Linked DNA regions of Oreochromis niloticus. The protein of the gene in region 1 purifies or fractionates together with the protein of each later gene. This does not show direct contact. Links are inferred from orthologs where the notes say so. Each region holds a gene or a part of one and is shown in the gene's direction. Other genes may lie near its edges.

Region 1 (3,754 bases):
GTTAACAATAAGTGCAACAAATACAGAAGGGTGGGATGATGGAAAAATATATATCCACCTCATAAACAAGAGCCTAAAACCACAACTATGAACTGGATTTGCCATGTTGCAGAACTGAATAGTATAGGGGAAAGAATGGTGCATTATATACTTACTCCAACACAATCGAGCCATATTTACTGATCTTCAGGCTATGACTCATTTCAACGTGATTTTCCAGCATAAATTATGGACCAGGAGTCATATTTCAGCAGAGTTTGCTGATTCATTCGCCACATTGAGCTTTCTGCTTCCAAACAGTGCTGTGCACTATCTACATTAAAATGCTCCTTCACTTGTACACTGTGCCTTAAGTATAAACCTACAAAACCTGATTTTGTCACCAGGCAACAGAAATCTGCGCATACAATAAGCCTGTCTAATTTGCCCTTGCTGAAGCGGCATTTAATGTAATTTGGATAGTTTGGACTGGAGTGCAGCTTTTGTTTATATACTTTTTATGAAGTTAACAAGGCATTGGAAATATATTTGAGACGATTATGAGAATGGATTCTTATGAAACATAGTTCACTGTATTAATGTATTTCATGCTGTATGAACTATGTAACTCCCTTTATATAATCCTGATGGTATTTTGTCAGTTCTTAAAATCTTTTTATGTTGTATTTAGACAGATAAAAATAGGGCCCCAATAAGGGAGCAGCCAAAAATCCTTTTTTCATATTGGCAGAAAACTGCTGACTTTATCCAGAGTTTCCATAGTATTTGATTGGGCACATCATAATTTATCTATCTCATATATGTCTAACGCACATTTTCTCTCCTTTCACTTCCTGACCCTGATTTAGCCTATACGATAGATTTTCCGGCCAAAACAAGTTTACAACGTGAACTTCACCCAGATTAACAATTTCGGAGTTTATTGAGAGCATTTAAATGCAACATGTTACGTCGTTGACGATTTTGACGAATCGCACAGGAGCCGGGACGCCTCCCACCCTCAGTGTTGAGCGGAGCCGCTAGAGTGGAGAAACACATAGCGGAGTCCGGTCCATCTCTACCGCAGCTAGCTAACCCCGCAGCAAGGCCATTGCGGGAAGATGGCGACGGAAAAAGCGAAGCATGAAGGAAGAGTGAAAATTGGACATTACATTCTTGGAGACACTCTCGGAGTGGGGACGTTTGGGAAGGTTAAAGGTATGTGTAACTGTCTCAGGCGTTTATGCATCCTGCCAGCTGCGAGACGGTGGGAGAGGGAGCTTTTAGCTTAGCTGCTAAGCTAGCATACTAGGAAAGCTAACTTGTCGCAGTGCTGGGGAGGCAACACACTTGTTGTCGCGCTATTATCAGAACTTTTTTTGTGTGTGACAAAACGCAGGTTTTAGAGCGTGTCGTTGTCGTTTCTAAGATAAACAAGACACTGGAAGTTTTATGAAATTGGCCTGTAGCTGGTCACGTAGTTTGCCATTTAGCGTCGGTTGCGTTGCGTGCTAGCGAGCGAAGCGCTTGTTGAGACATACACCGGGAAGTCAGCCCTCTTCATTGATGTTGCCGCTAGCAAGAGTACATTTTAATCGGTAAAGTACGGTTTCCTCTCTCTTGCCTTTAAACCCAACTCTGCACTACATTCATTCACAACTTCTTTTCCCATGAGTCGTATTTGTCGCCTGTTTCAAGCATTCAGTGTTAATTCTGAAGTTTAGATGGAGAGAGTTGGACAAACTCTGCTGAATCTACGCCCACTTTGTCAGTGCAGAGGGCTGAACGCTTAGAAGCTTAAGTCAATATACAACTATCAACACGCAATAGACTAAAAAAACCTGTTTTTTTTCCTGAAAAGTAATCGTGTCTGCGCGTTGCTTGTTTTGTTTACCTTACAGGCTGTTCTGTTCAGTAGAAACACTGAAACCACAATATATATCGAAATGGAGTGGAACCACCACAAGCTGTGTGATCGGTTAATTCCCAATGAGTCATCTCCCAGCTCTCAGCTATTTGTTGATGTTGAGGGAAAAGAGCTGGAGTTGGTGCTGTGTGATTATGGTCTTGATTACTACCGACACAGCTGGTAAATCAAAACCAGCTGTTTGCTAACTCCCATGGGCAAATGCGCTGTCTTCCCACCGTCCATTCAGATGTTATCTTTTTGTTTCTGGTGCGGCTTCTTACCGCTTTCAGTTATGAGGACTCTGTATTTGACCTATTTGCTCATGTATTGACTGTGTATCCCCACTCACCTTTACAGATCATTTAGCATGTGCTAGGATTTCTTTCTCTTTTTTTTTTTTTGTGGGTGACTTAATGTATTTACATTAGGTCACCCACATTAAGTCACTTTCAGCTAGAGACTTTATAAAGTAGAGATGTGGCGTTCAAAGACTCTTGAATTTAAACAGCAGATGAAGTAAGGCTTTGGTTAGCTTTGACTGATGTTTCGTAAGTATGTGCCCAATAGGTGCTGGAAGGTGTTTCAACATTGTGCATGGCAAGATTTGCTTCAAGGACTTTCGTTTCAGCATTAGATTTATCACACTCAGTAGGCAGCCAGTTTCAGCAAAAAACAAAAACAAGAGAGCTGTTTTACAGTCTTTCCATAATACCAAATGACAAAGCTATGCTGTGATATGCCTGAGTGATTGAATATGGTTGACTGAATACAAAATACTTTTTTTTTTCCATCCTTCCATTTTTTTTTTCCTTTAATTTGAATGCTTTTATTTTTTATATTGTTAAAATTGTGATAGGAAGTGGTGATTTAGATCTGCCATTCCTCACACTGACTTCACGATATTGGTCCTATTGCTGCTGTCCTTCATCCACCATGCTGCCTTCTGTTTCCAAAATAGGTTTCACCTCTAAGATTCGTAGCATGTCCGGTAACCTTTATCCTAATAGTGTAAACAACAAATTACACATTTCCTTAAGTTGCGTGAAGATGACTTGTTTTGCATAATACGTCATCCTTCCCTATTTTATATGGCCTTGGTTGTAATAGAATTGCTCCATCCACTCTTTTTTTCCTTCAGTGGGCCAACATGAGCTGACCAAGCATCAAGTGGCAGTGAAGATCTTGAACAGACAGAAGATCCGCAGTTTGGACGTGGTGGGAAAGATTCGCCGGGAGATCCAGAACCTCAAGCTTTTCAGGCACCCTCACATAATTAAACTGTAAGTCCTAGATTACACTCTGCTCACTGCTCCATAATCCCCTTGCCACTACATTAATGCCACCCACTGAGCTATTTTCAGGCTTTTATAGTGTTGTTTTAGAATACATCCATCTAGGACAGTATCTGTCTGACTCAGTCCACTCTCTCTTCTGACCTCTCCCTGTTGTGCAGTATTGACTGTTTAGTTATTCCCTCAGTTGGTCTTTCATTTTAATGTACAAAAGTGCACTGGCTTTGTCTTTATTGTGGCTAGCTGTGTAGCTTGCTCTGCTGGTATTACTGTCAACATCTGTCAGGCTAGAGCAGATAAGTGTGTCATTTCAAATGAGTAATTTTTTAACATCATAGTCTGAGCTGACTGTCCCATAATGTTCTGGTCCTCTAAGCTAAACTTGCTATCTGACAGTTGTCAGGGGATTTCCTGTTTGGTAAGGGAATGTTCACAGACTCAAGGCCACAGTTACAGGGTCATTAAACTGACCGGGGGTGTGTATAATTGCCTGAAATACCCGTTCCATGTTAAGCATGCACAAAAATGTAAGCTATGTCTGTGTGTGTCTACGCATGAGAGAGTGATTCCATCT
Region 2 (3,754 bases), on another chromosome or scaffold:
AATGCCTGTGTTTCATACCTTCAGATACTGTTCTTTGTACGGTCTTGTTTTCTGTTATGGCCAGAAGATCATTCACCTGTCGCGGGTTCCTGTTTGAGATTACCTTCTTCCCTCACCTGTGTTGTACCACGCCCACTAGTTTGGGTGTTGTCCTGCACTGTCGAAGGCATTACTTATTTAAAAGGCACATGGGGTTTTATTACATTTGAGTGCATGTAGTTGCTGCTGTTTATTTCACTGTTTTGACTGAATTTGTGCAGCTTAAACCACCAAGGTTCATAAAAAACAACAAAAAATGTGCTTAAAATAAAAAGTTAATTTTTATTTAACTTTCAAAAAGAAAAAGAAAAAAAAATGCGATTCACGTCCAGGCTGAGATGAGAACACACACCGCGCATGCGTTCATACTTGTAAACTCATAGCATTACTTTTAGCATTTCCGCCGAGGCATTCATAGATTTCAAAATAAATGTCTCGAGTTCTTAACTTGCTCTGCAATCTGTAATTATAGGTAACAGATTCTTCTGTGCATTTCTTTAAGACATGACCACGAGACAATTGGAGAATTTTCATGTAAATTAAAAGCTGAATATTTAGTGCTATTAAATGGAATTTAGGTTTATTTATTTAGCACCAATTCAATACGATAGTTGTTTTAAAGCAGTTTGTACTGTAATGTAAAGACAACCTAGTATGAACAAGCACTTTGCGATGGTAGGAAAGAAAAACTCCCTTTTAACTGGAAGAAACCTCCAGCAGAACCAGACTCAGTGAGGTTCAACCATCCACCATGACCAGTAGTGGGTGATTGAAAAGATAAAGGAAGAAAGATAAGAGAAAAGAGAGCACAGAGAGACAAGAAAAAACACAGACTGGAGGAGGGAAGAAGTGATTGGAGAGGAAGTCCTCAGTACACCACAGTGTATTACTTGTTTTACAGCAGTCTGAGCAAATTGCAGCATGAATAAGTGAAGGATCATGGTCATCTTATCCAGGCCTTTATCCAGCCTTATCATGTATAAGCTTTGTCGAAACAAATGTTTTGAGTCTAATATTAAAACTGCAGAGACTCTCTAGAAACTCTAGAAACCACAAATAATCCTGTAGTCTTAGAGGGCGGTGTGATGTTGGGATAATATGGTACTATGCGGTCGTTAAGATCTGATCTGATCTGATATGATATAGCTGTGATGAACACAAGCAAGATAACCTATCAGTGAGTGTAAACGATCAGCAATCATAATTAGCACTTACAATCTAAAGCTACACTGAATGTGATTTTTTTCACCATCCCTTGAAACCTTTGCAGGATCTTGGAGTGCAATTTTATATTCTATTATATTTTATTTAGTGTTAGTTTATTTTTCAGTTGAGTTTAATTTTGGTTACTATCCACACTGGGTTTTGTTCTTTCGGTTCATTTACTGTCTAAATGCTGAAACTTTGTAAATATAAAATCAACCATCTGCACCCGTTAATTTTTTTCTATTAAATTTTCGAGTATTGTTAATATTATTATTGTTATCATTGTAAGTAGTGGTATTCGTACCAAAAGTATTAATGAAGCCTTTTTATTATGAAATCTTAGAATCAGTACTCATCGGAAGTATTTGGCGTTACTCCCTGAGCTCACGCTGCCGTTACAACCGACCGCGCGCTGCTCTGGCTAGCAAGCAAGGGAGATGCTAGACAGAAATGGCGGTGACGGCAAGGCGAACAGCATGAAGTGCTGATGCATTACATAGATCAAAACTTTCGACTGGCAGGACACCGTTGGGTAAATGACAATGACGTCGAAGTAGACCACCTTTTGTAGCTGTCAGTAGAAACCTACAACACCTTCCCGGGGGATTCTTCATCTCGTCAGCGGAGGACAGAAAACCTCACCGGGAGCATGGCTTCTTACAGCAACCAGGTAGCTAAGCTAGCTCGCTATCATTAGCCTCCAAAACAACTCGTGCAGTCTCTTATTTTTGGACTTCAGATCGCTCTTTGATTCTGCACCATTTTGACCAAAGCTAACGCCACACAATAATTTAATTTTGGTCAGTTGTGTGTTGTTATTTTAAACATTTGGCCTGTCGTGTCATTGAACTGCTGAAGTACTAAAAAGTGCTTGCTAATGCCCCCCCTAAGCCTCATTGGAATACCACCAGCATGGTAACGTGAGCTAACAGGCCCCAGGTCCTTCCATTCAAATGAACCAGCAGTACTTAACGTTGCAGTTCTTGAGGCGATGACAACCGCTTTTAATTAAACGACACGAAAACTTGCTCAATCAAATGTTCGTGATACTTCGAAGTAATAGTCCACAAATGTCATGTAATATTTCTTAGAGAAAAGTGACCGAAAACTGCTGCGTGTATGCATGGCCCACCTGCTCAGTGCTGCCACAGGCCTGCTGCCATATCTTATTTTTATAACTACCAATAAGTTATTGGTTTTCTCGGGGTAGTCAGAAAGCATAATAACGGTCTAGTGGAATATTTTGCATGCGATCACTTGGCGTTTATAAGTGTTTCTGGAGCGGTATAACGTTTTCGTGCTGCTCGTTTAGCTTCTAGTATGCTAACTGTTTTGCACAGGTGGTGTGCTTAGACTTTGCTGTCTGTCCGCTAGCTAGTTAGCTAAATACACATTCGACAGTGTGGGCCTTCGTTGATAGCGAAGAGTTACTTGATATGGAAACAATGAGGATCAGGGTTGAGCTTGCACGCTGCTTACAGAGCCACCGTCCACGTGACTGAGCTTGGATTGGAGGTAACCTAACGAGTTTGGTGTTATTTCTGGAAAAGCTAGCTGTCATGTTGGAAGGCCCATTTTGAGGTCTAGTTTTACATGCAGAAACACGCCAGGTCTCTAGTCTACTAGTAAGAGACTGAATTAAAGTTTAACTAGAGAAGAAAAACCTCACATACTAAAAATTAATCAGAATTGGAGTCAAGTGAAGTGTCGAGTTCTAACTTTATTAAGAAACGGAACCTGGCTAACCACTGTAGTAAGGGAAATCTGCTGTACTAAAGTAATTCTGCATGCTTTCAACTTTCTTCCTGGCTTCCAAATTGAGCGTTTCTATTGGTTCCCTCTTTATTAAAGTGAAAGTTTCACGGGAAAACCGGCTGAACATCTTTTTTTTTTTATCCCTTTTAATTTACATGTCAATATTTGCTGAAATAAATTCTCATAACTGAACTGACCGATACAGAGTTGCATAGTATCTTTTGGTTTTTGTTAGTATGAATAGCATAGAGTGAAAAGTAATGCATGGAAGCTTTCACCAACGCTCTAAATTAGTGTTTTCCAGACTGTGCTCCACAGCAACGGTAACCCAGCAGATCTGGAGCATCATCAACTATTTCATTGGGTCTGCTTTCCTCTGTTTGTCACCACTTTTACTCTGTTACAAAACCCCTCATTTTAATAGCTATCCCTCTGTAAAGTAGTCACAGAAGGCAGGCGACTGAAAGGTTTGCTGTTGATTTATTCTGTGAAATTGCTGGGTAAAAATACTAACACTGGGGCTAAAATTGGTCGATAAACAGGTGAGGCAGTAAAAGACACATGAGCACCAGAAGGGACATCAGTCTTCTGAGTAGAAGTTTAGCAAACAGGTAATTCTGGAAATGCTTATCAATTCTTCTGCACTGGGAGATAAAGGCAGATAGTGTTCTGCTTGTGGTAAGTCATCTTGTTAATGCATAATCTACCAAATGTGACACTTCAAATTAACATACCATTATTGCTCCTTTATTTT
Region 3 (3,754 bases), on another chromosome or scaffold:
AGCACTCAGACCTGAGTACTTCTCTGTCATGTTTCTTCATGATGAGTGACAATAAAGAACTTTCAACCTTGAAACTATTTTGTTCAGTTCAGTTTTATTTTAATACTCTTCAAGGTATTCTCCTGAGTTTGTCTGCTACCTCAGATTTATTCTTGCGTCTGTGTTCCCTTTATTGAAATTCATAAGAAGATGAAAATGATAACGTACTGTGACAATCACAAACATTTTGTCCCCAGAGCCTCATGGGTAGTTAGGATGGTTGTAAACTGACAGAAGTTCCTAATTTGAAAAGGTAAAGGAAAACATAAATGTTTCATTGGAGTGACTTTGACATTTATATTATAACACAGCCATCTTTCTGTCGTTTTAGGCTAGAGTAGGAAAAAGTTCACGTCACAAAGACATATCAGACCAGTTTCACCATACAGTAAAATGAACTGGTCTTCAAGTTCATTTACTCAAAAGACAGGTTTTCCAGGCACTGAGTAGTCAAATAAGACCTCTCAAGCAGCCACATCACTGGAATAACCCAGAGAATCAAAAGTGAATATTATTGTCCAGAATTCACTCTCTGTTCACAGCGTTTTCTTTTTCTTCACACAGTTTTAAAGCAAAACTTCTAACAAACACAGGTGAGAATTATACTTAGAAAAATTTGATGAATTTCAACTATAAAAAAAATGATTCAGTCCTTGTGAGTACAGCCAAAAGTCAGAAATATGTCAGAATCAGAATCAGAATCAGAAAGACTTTATTTATCCCCAAGGGGCAATTAAGATACAACAGAGCAGCATGATGATGAAGATAAGAACAGCGCATAAACAGGCAATAAGAGCGAGATAACAAATACACAGAATATACAGTATATACACAGTTTGACTGAATAAGTGAAGAAGTAACTATAAGTGAATAAAGTGTCAGCAGTATAAGAGTATAGAGTAGTTATAGTAGTTATGTAGTCATCATACATTAATTACTATTTTCTGTTCCTTTTTTTCTATGCATTGATCATTTTTACACTAAAAGATAAAAAAATCGAAAATATTCACAGAATATGTGACATATTACGTTCACATTAAAAAATTATTTACAACCTCGTCTTTTTAGAATTATTATGCAATTATTAAATAATTATTATCTACATATCCATGCTTAGATTTTATCACAAAACAGTTTGTACATTTCTCAATGTGCATGTTTGATGTATATTTTTTCATTGCAAAATATTAAACACATGTCAGTGTGCTACATACTGAACTTACATGACAGAAACAAAGTATCGATACTATCACTCTCATACTGGTGTCGATACTGTTGATATTTGGATAGACCCGCCCACCTCTACTCACTTAATCAAGTAACATTGTTATGTTGTTTGGATTTCATTCATGGCGATTGTTGTTAAAAGAGCCAGCTTTGTGACAAATCTCATCCATATTCTCTGAGTCAAAACTGCCCCCTGCTGCTGCAGTACTCCTCCGGCCCTCTAGGGGGCGTTCTCAGACAAGGGGCCTGTCGACATGTAGCTGAGGAAGAAACGCAGCATGTTGTAGTGTAGCAGGACCTTCAGTGTTTTTGCGAACTTAGTAAAAAAAATGTGGCTCTTCCTTCATTTAGTTATATAATTTACACAGGACAGTCAGACACTGGTTATCGGTCTCAAGGTGAGTCTTTCTTACTGCATACGTGATATCGCGTGCAAACTGAAGAAGGTCATTTTCACATTAGCTGCCAAGCTAACCTGCTAGCATCCATGTATCTGTCAGGGACATCAGCACTGTGAAACAGCTATCAGTCCTCTGTATTTGTGTAATAACCCGTGGCTGTTTCGGCTGGATAAACCCTACAACCTGTATATAATTACTGGGGTTAAACAACTTGTTCTCGGATATGAAATAACCTGCTACCTAAAAAAGCATCTGTGCTGATGGTTCACCCCCTTCACTGAGGTTTAATAAGCAGCGTAGCATGGAGGAAGTCCATTATAAGTGCGTGTAAAGTGTTACCACAATAAATATGAAAGAGTAAAAACTACAGTGTTCCGTGAACATATTTTCTTTTCTGTGAAAAGTATCATAAAATTGAAAAACTGGGAAATGTATTAAAAATATCTCCATGTAAACACACAGATTTTTCCTAATGGCCAGTAAAGAAGAACGAGTGCTCTGTGATGAGGATGTTTCTTCAGTGCTCGTTTTGTTTAACTAGCAGTCAAAAACTCTAAACTTAGCTGTCATATAAGCCATGAAAAAGGGAAAAAATCTCACATTTGAGGATTTTGCAGTTATTACGTGGCACTGTGTGCTAACTAGCGAGGTGAGGTCACTTATCCAGCTTCAAATGATTGTGCTATCATTTCTCTTTGAATAGCAGCACATCCTTATGTACCATGGAGCCTGTAATGCTTCAGCTTTGGCAGAGAGCCTTTCGCCGCCTCCACAGGACCCTGATCCTTCCGAAGAGGTTCGACTCAGGCTGTGCTGAGCAGGCAGCCGTCCCTGCTTCCGCGCCCTCCTGTGGTAGAAAGCCCGTACTTCTGGTGTCTCGTCTCTACCAGCCTTCGAACTTACGTGATGTGGCGCAGGACAGCCGGTTGCCAGGGGAGATGAGCTGCAAGAGCCAGAGGCTCATGCAGCAGGCTGGGCTTATTCATCCATCCAGCCCAGGGTGCTACTACTACCTTCCTGCCACCATCCGCTCCATGGAGAAGCTGGTGAGAGTGATAATAATAATAATAAAGTAATATTATTGGCTGGTTTTGTCCTGCCAAGTAACTGAACTGATAATAGTTTCTTTTTTTAAGAATTTTTTAATACTGTTTTCATTTTGTTAATTTATCCTGGGGCGTGCAAATGCTGTATGAATGTTCCTTTAGATCTTACAAATAATAACACGCTCAATAATTTGCTTTATGACAGGTTCAGAATGACAGTCATCCTCTTACATGGCGTCTATCAAAGCAGTAGTCTGTTGCCACAGGCTCTACATTAGTTTAGGTTGTGAACGTTGTCCAGACAGTCTCTTTTCCCTCTTAGATTATTGTGGATTATAAGATTATAAAACCTAATTAATCTAATCACATAGATTATATGATTATGTAATCGAATATATTAGATTAGATTATATGTTTATTGGGCTAAAATGATAAAGTCAAACAGTAGCTCTTGACTAAAGGGAAAAGGGTACAGAAATGCCTTTTTTTCTAGTTTCCTATCAATTTTTGCGTGATTGCTGATGTTTATCTTCCAACCTCCTGATTTGAACTGCTGTCTTTGATCAACAGGTGAGAGTGATTGACCAGGAGATGCAGGGGATTGGAGGGCAGAAGCTGGACATGCCCAGTTTGTGCTCGGCCGACCTCTGGAAAACCAGTGAGCGCTGGGATTTGATGGGAAAGGAGCTGTTCCGCCTGAAAGACCGGCACGGCGCTGACTACTGCCTGGGTCCCACTCACGAGGAAGCAGTGACGACTCTCGTTGCTCACCAGGCGACTCTCTCCTACAGACAGCTCCCACTGCTTCTTTACCAAGTAAGCATTCAGCCCGTTCTTACTGTCAGTGTTTTTGCTGCAACAAGCTGCAGTTTGTTTGTTTTTTCTGACATGATTTATTTTGGAAAAACCCAAAAAACAGATCACCCGCAAATTCAGAGACGAGCCAAAGCCGAAGTTTGGTCTTCTCCGAGGGAGGGAGTTTTACATGAAGGACATGTACTCCTTTGACGTGAGCGAAGAAGCCGCTCATCAGACGTACGA

Evidence for each region. Proteins that work in one complex are often made in the same cells at the same time.
Region 2: the proteins of prkaa1 (region 1) and usp10 purify together in Homo sapiens (affinity purification with western blotting; 3 studies listed by BioGRID). This does not show direct contact. The link is inferred for Oreochromis niloticus from reciprocal best matches to the Homo sapiens genes PRKAA1 and USP10.
Region 3: the proteins of prkaa1 (region 1) and pars2 purify together in Homo sapiens (affinity purification with mass spectrometry; 3 studies listed by BioGRID and IntAct, with this or other methods). This does not show direct contact. The link is inferred for Oreochromis niloticus from reciprocal best matches to the Homo sapiens genes PRKAA1 and PARS2.

The regions. Positions count from the first base shown.
Region 1 is NC_031972.2:15,617,531-15,621,284, forward strand, and holds the start of prkaa1 (5'-AMP-activated protein kinase catalytic subunit alpha-1), read left to right. Parts: upstream 1-1,085; 5' UTR 1,086-1,100; coding exon 1,101-1,197; intron 1,198-3,026; coding exon 3,027-3,168; intron 3,169-3,754. UniProt on the Homo sapiens protein: Catalytic subunit of AMP-activated protein kinase (AMPK), an energy sensor protein kinase that plays a key role in regulating cellular energy metabolism.
Region 2 is NC_031965.2:21,778,249-21,782,002, reverse strand, and holds the start of usp10 (ubiquitin carboxyl-terminal hydrolase 10), read left to right. Parts: upstream 1-1,609; 5' UTR 1,610-1,894; coding exon 1,895-1,915; intron 1,916-3,754. UniProt on the Homo sapiens protein: Hydrolase that can remove conjugated ubiquitin from target proteins such as p53/TP53, RPS2/us5, RPS3/us3, RPS10/eS10, BECN1, SNX3 and CFTR.
Region 3 is NC_031981.2:3,038,055-3,041,808, forward strand, and holds the start of pars2 (putative proline--tRNA ligase, mitochondrial), read left to right. Parts: upstream 1-1,482; 5' UTR 1,483-1,664; intron 1,665-2,370; 5' UTR 2,371-2,389; coding exon 2,390-2,713; intron 2,714-3,283; coding exon 3,284-3,529; intron 3,530-3,632; coding exon 3,633-3,754. UniProt on the Homo sapiens protein: Mitochondrial aminoacyl-tRNA synthetase that catalyzes the specific attachment of the proline amino acid (aa) to the homologous transfer RNA (tRNA), further participating in protein synthesis.